Linked DNA regions of Nothobranchius furzeri. Each later gene encodes a partner of the first gene's protein in a complex. Links are inferred from orthologs where the notes say so. Each region holds a gene or a part of one and is shown on either strand. Other genes may lie near its edges.

Evidence for each region.
Region 2: cdhr2 (region 1) and anks4b share a complex: the UniProt entries of both Homo sapiens proteins name them as parts of the IMAC/intermicrovillar adhesion complex. The link is inferred for Nothobranchius furzeri from reciprocal best matches to the Homo sapiens genes CDHR2 and ANKS4B.
Region 3: cdhr2 (region 1) and cdhr5b share a complex: the UniProt entries of both Homo sapiens proteins name them as parts of the IMAC/intermicrovillar adhesion complex. The link is inferred for Nothobranchius furzeri from reciprocal best matches to the Homo sapiens genes CDHR2 and CDHR5.

The regions. Positions count from the first base shown.
Region 1 is NC_091742.1:44,953,081-44,957,525, forward strand, and holds the start of cdhr2 (cadherin-related family member 2), read right to left. Parts: upstream 2,810-4,445; 5' UTR 2,743-2,809; intron 1,392-2,742; exon of another isoform or gene 1,374-1,391; intron 1,274-1,373; exon of another isoform or gene 1,259-1,273; 5' UTR 1,257-1,258; coding exon 1,208-1,256; intron 1,129-1,207; coding exon 1,069-1,128; intron 972-1,068; coding exon 832-971; intron 734-831; coding exon 683-733; intron 610-682; coding exon 520-609; intron 357-519; coding exon 276-356; intron 193-275; coding exon 70-192; intron 1-69. UniProt on the Homo sapiens protein: Intermicrovillar adhesion molecule that forms, via its extracellular domain, calcium-dependent heterophilic complexes with CDHR5 on adjacent microvilli. Thereby, controls the packing of microvilli at the apical membrane of epithelial cells.
Region 2 is NC_091752.1:56,799,586-56,803,685, forward strand, and holds the start of anks4b (ankyrin repeat and SAM domain-containing protein 4B), read left to right. Parts: upstream 1-1,251; 5' UTR 1,252-1,482; coding exon 1,483-1,643; intron 1,644-4,100. UniProt on the Homo sapiens protein: As part of the intermicrovillar adhesion complex/IMAC plays a role in epithelial brush border differentiation, controlling microvilli organization and length. Plays a role in assembly of the complex.
Region 3 is NC_091754.1:42,612,070-42,616,508, forward strand, and holds the start of cdhr5b (cadherin-related family member 5), read left to right. Parts: upstream 1-1,497; 5' UTR 1,498-1,749; coding exon 1,750-1,855; intron 1,856-4,439. UniProt on the Homo sapiens protein: Intermicrovillar adhesion molecule that forms, via its extracellular domain, calcium-dependent heterophilic complexes with CDHR2 on adjacent microvilli. Thereby, controls the packing of microvilli at the apical membrane of epithelial cells.

The DNA.
Region 1 (4,445 bases):
ACTGAAAATACGTTTTTGTTTTGAATTCAGTAGAATATGACAAACAGCAGCTCGTGCCATTCTACTCACAGTTGCTGTAATCTTAAGCCGATAAAAGGTACTCAGCGAGGTGTAATTGAGACGTCCCTTTAGCTTCACTTCACCATTAAACTGGCCAATCTCAAACAGATCCGATCCCTGAGTTGGTGTTACCTGGAAAAACACAACCATGAAACTTTGCACAATATCAGAACATAATAATGGTTCTAAATGAAATTGCTCACAGTGGAGTTTACCTCTGTGATGCGGTATGTGATGGGATTTCCATCGAGATCAGTGGCAGAGACTTTAAACAGATTGCTACCAATGGGTGCATTCTGAAATAAAAATGAAACAAATGCTAAAAATATTTAAAAAAAACACCCAGATAACGCAAATCCATTTCACTGAGCTTTAAAAATGGGCTACATGGTTAGAATATGTTAACAAAAAAGCTCAACTGCATCACTAATAAGAAACTTTTTTATATGATTTACTCACTTCTGGGACTGATATGTCATAGTTAGACTGGCTAAACAAAGGTATGTTGTCATTGGTGTCGTCTAGTATTATAATTAATGTTGCGGAAACCTGAAAGACATGTTTAAAATAAATGTGATTAATACTATAAAGAATAACTGGTAGTAACGGGAGGGGAACTTACGGGAGTGGTGCCATCAGAGACGGTAGCGTCCAGTGTGAGGGTAAAACTAGCCTAGAAGAGATGAAGTCATGCAACTTGTGAATATTCAACCAAAAATATGCTGTTTTATTCCCCCCTGTAAAGATTTCCTCATGACTAACACATCATACCTCTGTATCAAGAGGAGTTTTTACTGTGACTCTTCCAGTGTTTACTTCAACCTCAAAAAATGCAGCACTGACCCCGGAGATCGAGTAGGTCAGTGGGTCATTTTCTGGGTCTGTGGCATTTATAACAAATGCAAGTTCCCCTATACAAACAAAACCAATTTAACGTCTAGAAAAGGGGATTCACAATTGGTAGCACATGAAAGTTGACATTTTCAGTAGTCAGTTAGATGTATGTACCAACTGGGGTGTCTTCACACACGTGATGAACTTGACTGTTGAACGTGGGACTAAAATTGGCTGTAAAACAGAGAATATTAACATTAGATGGTGATGCAAAAAAATTTTTCACAAAAACTAAAATAAATGAAATGGTCACCTTTGACCGAGCTGACAAGGAGCAGTAGTATCCATCCTGTGAGCGCCATGTCTGAAACAACAGCCGCTAGAACGTTTAAAATTAAACGAGTCGGTAAAGAAAGGATACGGAGTGTAGCTTCATCTTGACTTTATGATGCCAAAGATGAAAAGCGGGCGTGTACAACCTCACACATCTGGAACAACAGACGTGTTGGGAACGACCCTCAGCTCCTAACACATCACATTTTAGCTCTAATTAGTTTACCAAATGGAGTTGAAGCCATCTTCTGTTTGCAGATGTTGCTTAAATGTGGACCATTAATGAGTTTAACTCCAGAAGTTAATCAGATGTAGCTGAACATCCAATTATGATTCTAACACACACTCCTGCTATCCAACAACAAAATGGCCGCGCTACATTTTCCTTTGACTTACGGAACTCTGGCACATTTAAGCACTTTGAAACCGAGAAACAGAAGAAAGAACGAATCCCAGCTTCTAAATCTGCAAACAAGCCAAGGAACATGCTTTTCTTTTCCTTAATGGAGTAAAGACTGACTACAGTTACAGTATAAATATATACCGTGTTACTGATATCTGTGTATTGTTCATACTATCTGGCACAGCAGGCTAATAAGTTTATTATAGGGTTTGAATAGAAATCAGCACAACTCCTGTCTCCCACAAACACAATCTTCTATTACTGTAAGCACATACAGATAAAGAAATCTTGAGGGCCAAAGAGCAACCTCCGGGTTCCAAAACCGATGAGTGATGTCACTCCGACCATAACCTTCACTTCATGCCCATTGCTTGTAACAACCAAGATCACCTGCCCTGATTACGAAAGTTAAAACTGGATAACAAATTGAATGTCTGACCACACCGAAACAATCGACAGGTGAAAAGTGGGTCATTTCCTTTTAGCTTAGATGTACAGAGAAGAGATGATTTACCTGAGAATGAGTTTGGTTATAGGTGATTGGCAGAAAAAGCTGTATAAGTAACAGGATTTAAAATAATTTCTTCTGATGAATATTTGCCTTACAGAAGTCCCCTCCACCACACACACACACACACACACACACACACACAGGAATGAAATGAGAGGAATTTGACTTTCTCATTTGAGCTTTAAGAGCTAAATGTTGGTATTTTTAGTAGTTACGTTAATAAAACTGAATCATTAATGGAGTTGTGTTTTCTACATAGCTACTGTTGTCACTTTAATATACAAATAACATTTACTTTTCTAAAATCAGTTGTTGTTTAAATATGAGCTTTGTTCTGTAAATGTCTGAATCTTTTAAGAATTAGTGGCGGAATCAGAAATCCCTCGTTTCCTTAAAAACATTTAAAACGACAAATAGGAGCTTTGATCATGACAGCTGGTCGCTGAGGTGTTGGTAATTCAGAAAAACACAAAACAGCTGGAAGTGCCTTGCTCATTTGTTCAAGTCTGATTTAAACAGCAAATCTCAGTATCCACAAGACTGAGCATGTTAACGCAGTAACACCATTTTAAGTGGTTTGACACAGAGAAGGTAGCCTTACCTGGTGACCATCACAGACGGCTTCCTTATTCTGATTAGTGGGTAAGACCTTTGGCTCTTGTATCTCTGTGTCGTTATCACGTCAGCGTTGTAAACATAAATCATTAACAAACAACCAGCACCACCACTCTGAACGTCTCCCTGAAAAATAAACTCCCATCAAATAGAAAAAGTTCTAATTGTCTCTCTCAGCTGATTCTCGGTGAAGGACCCCAGTCCTGTGGCTTTGTGCCATTCTTGGTCTGAACCACAACCACAGAAGGCAGCTCGCTTCCCCTGAGTAAATTTGATGGAACCAGGGACCGTTAAAAACATTTCCAACCAATCGGTGGATTGGAGTCTTGTTTAGAAACCACAGATCCATCCCATAATGAGCCAGAGTTTCAGCATTGTCTCCTCTAATTAATGAGCCTCACACAAAGGATTGTGCTCTGGTATTCACCCTTAATCAGACATTCGCCTCCAAACGAAGTCAGACAGATCCTCTCAGCAGGAAAAGGGGGAATATTCAAAGTAGGAAAATACAGTTGGAAAAAGCTAAAGAAAGAGATCAGATGAAAAAAATAATCATTCAGGAAATTTTCAGAACAAACATTTAGACTGGGGGAATGAAAATTAGTTAGAGCACGTGGAAAACAAACAGAAGTGTGACTGAAATCCTTGTACAGGACAGTGTTCCCCTAAGCAAACTGTTTTGTTAATATGTTAGCAAGTATAAATACCATAAACTAACAATGTAGATGTACTGACTGTCTAACACGCTCTACAAATTGTTCACGTAAGGCTATGCAGAACGAACGTGGCACCTTTGCCTCCGGTTTGGATTTGGTATCAGATGAGAAACGTTTGTGCGGAGAACAACAAACTGAGTTGTTTGGAGAGAAACTTTTAAGAAATATATCATAAATAAATAAAATGTGTCAATCCAGAAAGTGATGACAGCCTTTCTGCTGCCTGGTTTTTCCAACAGGACTTTGGTTTATTGCTTACAATTTTGAACACAACGCCGCCTCTCTGAGCCAGCAGTAAGAGTATAAAAGGGTGGGAACATTATAAAATCCTTCTCAGACAGTCCCAGTAAATAGAAACATCATAATAAAAAAAGTCAATCTAATGTGATAAGCCAAATATTATCAGGGTCAACCATGGTGATGGAGCTCCACGCAGAAAAGATCATCAGTCGTAAAATGAAAAGGCAAAAAGAGTAAATCACAAGTGGTTATGAGATGAGGATGACAACTAACTTATTAAAAACCATGAAAAATAACAGGTAACATGACAAAGTAAGTTTAAGTACTAACACTACAGTCACATCCTTAGTTTTCTGTCTATGACAGGTACAGGTGTGTGTACGATTATCAGTTTTATTGCTTTGGACCTTTGCTTTCAGCCAGCTTGTTTCTCATCCTTCCAGTCCGCTGTCCCTGACTCCCTCAAGCAGATTACACAAAGCAACAACAACTTCCTTCTGTTTCTGTTTAAGGTTATAAATAATTGTTACCTTACCAGCTGTAGATAACTTCTTGAACAGCCTCAGTTTGGAGAAGATAAGTTTACACCCAGTGATGTATTAGCAGGGCTGTATGGTGGCCCTCTGATGGGCCGGTGACCTGTCGGGGTTAGGGTTAGTGAACGAGGCCTTTAAGGTGGCAACAGTACATTTTGGTCTCAACATTCATACACCAGTCAGTTCTGCAGAAACAA
Region 2 (4,100 bases), on another chromosome or scaffold:
ATTAACTACGTAGATCCATTACAGCTTTCCTACATTGGCTGCCTGTTAAATTCAGAATAGATTTTAAGATCCTCCTTCTCACACATAAAGCTCTTAATAATCAAGCTCCATCTTCCATAAGTGACCTGATTATTCCATATGTTCCTAACCGAACACTTCACTCTCAGACTGCAAGTTTGCTGGTGGTTCCCAGAATATCTAAAAATAGGATGGGAGAAAGTTCTTTTAGCTATCAGGCTCCTCTCCTGTGGAACCAGCTCCCAGCTTTAGTCCATGAGGCAGACACCTTGTCTACTTTTAAGACTGGACTTAAATTATTTGATAGGGTCTATGGTTAAAATCTGATGTTAGCCCAAATCTGGACAAGTGAGGGAGTAGAGGGAGGTGGAGTGTACAGTCGGTAAAAACGACTCTCCCTTGCCCTGCCTCCAACATGCTTCCACCTAAAAGGCTAGGTTATCCAGAGTTATCTCTGTAGTTATGCTGCTATAGGCTTAGACTGCTGGAGGACACACTGACCACTTTCTACACTCTACAACTTTCTTCTACAATTTGCTCTTTAACTGTATTACTTTCTGCTATTTCAGCTGTTTATGTTTTTTCTCTAAGTGTTTTTCTCCCCAGAAGAAGCTAGAATGATGTTCTGCTGAGCTGTGGTGGCCTCATGGAGGGGGCCATTGGCTTGAACACTGTTGCTAACCACTTAAACATTCTCCCTCTCCTGATAATACAATTTAACTTTCTTTGACATTGAATGTGCTACTACTAGTTTACCCATTTAATTATAGATTCACTAGGATAAATACAATAAAGTTTATCTCTCACCAAATAGAATATTTACTAAGAAATCACAATGTAACCATAGAAACACTACTTGGTATATATGTTGTGTGGTGTGTGTGTGTGTGTGTGTGTGTGTGTGTGTGTGTGTGTGTGTGTGTGTGTGTGTGTGTGTGTGTGTGTGTGTGTGTGTGTGTGTGTGTGTGTGTGTGTGTGTGTGTGTGTGTGTGTGTGTGTGTGTGTGTGTGTGTGTGTGTGTGTGTGTGTGTGTGTGTGTGTGTGTGTGTGTGCTCTGTCTTCTCCAGCCCCAGTGAGTCGTGGTGGATGGCTGCTTATTCTGAGCCAGGATCCTCTGGAGGTTTCTTCCTGTTAAAAGGGAGTTTTCCTCTCCACTGTCGCTAAATGCTTGCTTAGTATGAGGATTGCTGTAAAGTCACTGACACTAGTTAGTGACTCGATGCAATTTGCTGGGTTCCTTATGTAGGAAACTTTTAAACTGGTATCCTCTTTAACTGGTCACATGTCTGTTGTGATACTTGTGCTTTCAGGGATGATAGTTAAAGCAGGAACTGACGACATCAAGCTGGACTTTGTTTTATAGCTCAGCTGCTCACACGCCCAGTGATCACTTTGTTTGCTCGGGTCAGCCATCGCTGTTCCAATTCTGTGGTCAGAGGAGGCAGCAACACATTCATTTGAAAGATGTCGAGGTACCACAAGGCAGCGATCGATGGTAACTTGGACCTCTTGAAGGAGGCAACAAGGAAGCACCTGAACACCGCAGATGATGATGGGATGACTCCCACCCTACTGGCTGCTTTTCATGGACACGTCAACGCTCTTCAGCTCATATGCAGCAGAGAGTAAGTTACTTTCTATTATCCAACCAGGATTAGTCTGAAATCAGGCTGTTTGTGGATCAGAACTCTGTCTGTTATTATGATCACTGCTATTCACAAATGAATTATTCCTCCCTAGAGAATTAAATTAAGATTAACAATAAGTCATAAATAACAGCAAAGGAGCAAAGGTCAGCGTTACCGTAGAAGGTGTTTTATGGCTTCTTTTTCATTCAATTGATTTTTATGGGACTTTATTTACACCGGTTGATGTTTTCCATCTTTCTTCCACATTCTCCTTTGAGCAGAGCCAAAATTTTTTATTTGTTCTGTAAAACAAAAGAGCCTTTCATTCAGCCATCTATCCCCCAGTACCCCCACCTTGGCTCCATTAACAGCAACAAAGGACTGGTTAAAATCTAGCCTGAGACCCAGAGAATATGTTTGATACATGACCTAAATCAGAAGTTAAGTCTTTTTATCAGAACCAGTCAGATCTGGGCTTCATAATAAACTCCTGTAGCGATTAAAGCTTTTATGGCTCCAACAGGAAGGAAAACCATTAAAGGCCTTCCAGTTTAACAGCTCAATAGCAACAGCTCATTCTGTAAACCACTGATTTTAACACACTTATTATGTTATAACACAATAATATTGTGGTTTTTATTTTACTTTTATATTACACAACACAAAGGGAGATTTGTGAAGAGACTGCTTTTTGAAGGTTATCGAAAAGTAAAGAATAATAATAAATGAATAAATAAATAACTATATTTCCCATTCATTTATAAATAAAATAGTTTGATCAGCAAAGCACAAGCATGTTGCCAGCGCTCTTAATGATAAACACTCAGATTAAATACATGGAGACGTGTTTAACCAACGTGTGTCTACTTTTTTTTATTATTTATTTATTTATTTATTTCAAAGAACAAGACGAAAATAAGAACAAAAACATGGAATATTTACAACAACACACACAGAAAAAAACAAAGAATGAAAAGGAACAGAGAGAAGAAAAAAATCTTATTTTTTTTTACTAAAGCAACATAAAATTCATCCCCCTCAACAAATTCAACTTGCACACTCACTTTGCAGACACCATCTTAATTCATATTTATATAATTTCTTAATACATTTAATTTGACACCTTTTTAAAATACATTAAAGAGCAAGTCACCCCCTACCAGAGTCTTACTCCACTCCCACTTCCTGTTTGAAAATGCAACAAATGCCGTTGCCTGAGGGCGAAGCCGCTAACAAACACACACACACACACACACACAGGCTCACAATGGCATTGTAACATCACATGGTACCAGCTGATGTCATAGGGTACCTCTAAGCCAATAACGACAGCAGATTAAAATACACATGCAGTGCTGAGTTTTTACCTGAAGATGGCGCAATACTGACAGTTTGGCAGAATTTTTAAATTTGAATTAAGATGCACTAAAGTGCCTAATTATTGACTACACATGTCTACAGCATGATTAGACACTCATTTTTTTCAGTTTATCAGCAAAAAAAGTTATAATAACTAAGGGTTCGAAACTCGGTTGTAGACTTTCTGCGTGGAGTTGCATGCTCTCCCCATGCATGCGTGAGCTTCCCCCACAGATCACAACATGCCCTATAGGTTGAAACATTGTACGTCACTTTGTACGTCTGCCAAATAAATAAACATAAACATAAATAAAGGGTTACATGGCTCTCTATAGCGAGTGTTACTGATGGCTTTCTGTTAATGCCATTATTGCCATTGAAGTTAGATGTTTTGTCCTAAATCCATATTGTTCATGGTTTAAAATATTATTGTTTTCAATCAATCTATCCAACCTTCATTGAAAAAAAATATATATTTTAAACCTTGAACAGTATCGATCTGACTTAACCACTGATGGTGCTGTAAAAGTCTATCTGTTGTGAGCTCAAATACAATATTTATCATTTCCTTTGCATATAAACACTTTTTTGTTTTTATTCAAATACACATTTTTGCACAGATAATGTTAACTACAAAGAAGAAAACATTATTAATATATATCAGAGTTGGAAAAAACATGATGAAAGTTATTTTGTTCATACAAAAATTAATTTTACTAACTGACAACAATAATAATCTTTGTTTTATCGTTTTTGCAAGGTTTTCTCGACATCTATAATAAGGCCTACTTCGTTTTCATTCCTTTCTCCTCTGCATCTGTTTTGAGCTGCAAAAGACACGTTGTTGAGCTAAACTTTAAAGTTAAAATATGGAACACTTTTCTTATTTTTTAAATAATACCCCCACAGGGCGTTTAGAGGTGCAGGATGAATGTACAGTTTCTCCTTTAAAAGCTATATTTAAAAAATGCATAATCAAATTTTTATTTTGTTGGGCATGACACTGGCTTTATGTTTACATCTACTGGAACAGGGTGCTGAAACGTGTCAGCAGTGAACCAACATCCCAGCTGCTGGAAAATTTGTCCTATTGTT
Region 3 (4,439 bases), on another chromosome or scaffold:
GTAGCTGCATCATCCGTCTCCGTTGATAATCGCGGTCGTTTGGGTGGAATAAGATATTTGTCCATGTTTGCATCAGGCTGCTTTGTAATAGCTATGCGCTAGCAAGACAAATCTCAGTGCTTCTAAAAGCATGGGGTCAAATCGAAGTCTCGCGATAGCACCAGTGAGGCACGTCTTTTTTTGTTTTTCCAAGAAATTTGTTCTCCAAAACTATAAGTAAAACTACCACTTTTTATGTTAGATTAAATATATATATTTTAAATTATTTAATGTAAAAACTTTATACAATCTTTGTTACAACATAATCAGGGTTGCTAAGCAGTTGCTTGGTCAAATCTTGTGGTTGCTATAGCAACACCAAGCTACTGCCTGGCGCCGCGTCTGATCTGGAAAAGTGGGGGAGTACAGGGAGGTGGAGTGTACAGTCGGTAAAGACAGCTCTCCCTTGCCCTGCCTCTAATATGCCTCCATCTAAAAAGGCTAGGTTATCCAGAGTTATCTCTGTAGTTATGCTGCTATAGGCTTAGACTGCTGGAGGATACACTGACCACTTTTCACACTCTACTACTTTATTCTACAATCTGCTCTTTAACTGTTATTTCCTGCTACTTCAGCTATTAACTTTATTTTTTCTCTAAGTATTTTTCTCCCCAGAAGAAGCTACAATGATGTTCTGCTGAGCTGTGGTGGCCTCATGGAGGGGGCCATCGTCTAGCACACTGCTGCTAACCACTTAAACTTTTTCCCTCTCCTGACAATTACTTTTTGTTTCCTTGACATTGGATGTGCTACTGCTGGTTTACCCTTTTAACAATAGATTCACTAGGATAAATACAATAACGTTTATCTCTCGCCAAATAGAATATTTACTAAGTAATCACGGTGTAACCATGGACACATTGCTTGGTGTGTGTGTGTGTGTGTGTGTGTGTGTGTGTGTGTGTGTGTGTGTGTGTGTGTGTGTGTGTGTGTGTGTGTGTGTCTGCTCTATCTTCTCCATCCCCAGTGAGTCGTGGAGGATGGCTGCTTATACTGAGCCAGGATTCTCTGGAGGTTTCTTCCTGTTAAAAGGGAGTTTTCCTCTCCACTGTCGCTATATGCTTGCTTAGTATGAGGATTGATGTAAAGTCACTGACACTAGTCAGTGACTTGATGCAATTTGCTGGGTTCCTTATATAGGAAACATTGTTTTCTGATTAGCTTAATGAACTGACCTGAATTGGAATGTTTATTATGTGAAGTGCCTTGAGATGACTCTTGTCGTGATTAGGCGCTATAGAAATAAAATTGAATTGAATTGAATTAAGCAAACAAATTCCACAGGTAGAAAAACTCAGCATTATGATTATATGACACACATAAAAATGATGCTGTCACTTCCTCGTTGGTGTCTCTTTCAGGCTCTGAAGGCTGTCTCCTGGTTTATTAGTTTGTGTTTTCACTCTGTTGTCAACCATAAACTCAAATCAGGAAAGAAGACCTATCGATAACGAGAGTGTAAAGCAAAGGACATACCTGTGTAAAAAATTTAAGAACTGATCAATTTACGACATCATCAGCTGTGTTAATCATCACAAATGTGTAAGCATGCTGGGGTGAGATGGCTCAAGTCAAAAGACACAAATTAAAGGCAGTCAGTCCCAGAAAAAGATCTCATATGGTTTCTCGGCAATCAGAAGTGCACCTTTTTATGATGGGTGAAAGTCCACCACAGCCGTAACAGCAAGCAGATAAGCAGAGAACAGAGACATGAAGGCCAGTTCACACAGAGAGGACGGAGACATGGACGCAATTCATCCACAACTCTTCAGCTTCTTCCTGTTTTTCCTCCAAACCTCCACCGTGACAGCGAACAGTGAGTATTGCTTTGTTTCACTGTTTTATCAGGCTGATGGTGTCTCCTAACAAATAAAGTGGTTCCTTGTGTTTGTTGAGACGGATAAATAAAACGACAAGAAGAAGGTAAAGACTGAAACAGGAAGTGGTGAGTCATGAAGGCAGCACAATGGATGGCGAGTTCAGGAATCATCACATTTACTTACTTTCAGATCTGACAACATTTATCTCAACCAAACCAAGTCATCTCTAAAAGTCTCTGTGTTCTATCCACCATCCTTTATACAAGTGTACACAGAACAGGGCAGCTACACGGCTCTGAATCTAAAGCTGTGATTCAATTAGTCGATACTCAGCACGACTCACGTTGATTCGGTTTGTTTGGACTGCGTTTCCATTAGTATCCAGTCCATGGTCACTACTGAAAATTATTCCAAGTGCACCGAGCTGGGACGAAGACGCGACATCTGTGATAGTCGGTCACTGCTTGGCTACTGGTTGCTTCAGCATTCAGGACATTTTTTTATCTGCAGACAGGCATATTTATTCAGTGTTTTTGGAGAAGTTGACTGATATGTGGCTAATGAAACTACCAGAATGCACCATGCATTAGAGGAAAGAGCCAGTGCACTGAGAAGCCAAATTTAAAAGTAGTGGTGTGATCTAGAGATGGAGAGATTCACCGATCTGACCCGGTGGTTCGTTCATAACATTAGCGACGTGACTGCACTGGTAGCTTCGGGTACATCGGTTACAACTGATGGCTGCATCACATTGTATATTTCCATGGGTGTCTCTCGTCGGTAAAAACCATGGTTACATTGATTACATCATAGTTTACCTGCTGTCCTTATCTCTTTCAGCGAAAACCAGGTGCTGCCCACTGCGCATTGAAAGTGGTAGCATGTTGGGGCTATTTTAAAGGGACTTTTCGGACTTTTAAATTTTTATGCTCACGATTGCCCCCTCAGGCCAAAAACGTAACGGCAGCTTCTATTGTAGGCTCGTGCACGAGGTGTGCATGCTGTACGTGCACACTCCTTAAAGAAAATAACAGCTGAGACAGTACCGTGTGTGTGTGTGTGTGTGTGTGTGTGTGTGTGTGTGTGTGTGTGTGTGTGTGTGTGTGAGTGTGTGTGTGTGTGTGTGTGTGTGGCCCAGAGGACAGAGGACAGGAGAACGCACAGCTAATTAATTAAATACTTTGGTTCTGTACCTTTCTCTTCAGCACAGCCAACAAAGGTTTAAGATGGGTCAGTCCTCCTGCATGCTCAGATCATTCCCTTCCCTTGCTTGAAAAATTGTTCCAAAATGAAACGTATCTGTAACATTTAAATTCTTGATGACAGCTGAAACAATGTCAAACCAAAGAACGGTTCGGAGCGAAAATGACTATTTTGTTACTAATTTGCAGGAAATATCTAGAAGAAAGTTCTACAGAAAGTAGCTAAGGGTCCTCAGAAATGTAGCTAGGTTTGTCACTAGGCGTTAGGAACAGCGACAAAGTCGCTGAGTTGGCACTACCTCTCTCTCTGCTGCTAAAGCTACTAATAGCAAATGCTACGGGCGATGCCTGAGCGTGAACACGCATGAAGCAGCCTGCTCGACCCGAGCATCTCTCTTTTTCTGTGATTTTACAGAAAAACAGGCAATCACAGTAAAAATGCCAGGGCTCATTCTACAGGACCAGGGCATTGCAGGAGAATGTATGAAGAAGAAAAATAATATTTCTATACATGTTTTGGCTGTCAAACTTCCATAATGCCCCTTTAACTGAGATACGTGCTTCCTGTCTCAACTTGCCAACGTAAAATCAACTTCTCCGTGACACTGTCTCTGGTTTGTGCAGCCACGTATTTTTAAGAGCGTTCTTATTGACCTGAGCACCTGAAGCTTTGTGTGAGCTAATTTAAGATAATCACTTATTACTGTAACATGTGCAGAATTAAAAAAACTCCAGAAGGAATGACGTTGTGCCGTTAACTGTAGTTCATAGAAGTCCAATAAACTTCTGAGATACGCTCACATCTCCAGCATTCACTTCCTAAAGGAACAGTAGCTTTAGGCTACAGCAGCTCTCACAATAGCTCCTTATGGATCAGTACAATATTTTATGTTCAGATGCTTACGGTGTTTAATAATAATTCCTAATAATTATGAGATGAACGCTAACACTTTTTTGATTCTGTTGGTTTGTTTTTCTGAAAAGAGTGACTGTCTAAACCGCATTTCAACCCTTCAATGTCAGCAGAGTAATAAAAATATGTATAATATGGAAAAATCACTGATGAACTGCATTGTCTTTTCATGTTCAGTTAATTGATAAATGAAATAATGGAAGATCAAATACATTCTTCTGTGATGATGTTTAAAAACCAGATGTGGGCTTGCTATTTCTTCTTAATGTGCTGAGTCGTTTCACATGAATTGTGTCAAATCGACTTATGGGAGCTTCTCGTAGCACTACTCAGTGTGACACGGATGGGTGTGGTTTGGGTGGACAGCCTTTTCGAGCAGCATGGTTTGGTCTTTTCGCAAAACTATTCAGTACCTGGTTTGATACGGGAGTGAAGTGGGAAAGACCTTCATGGCATCAGGTTTAA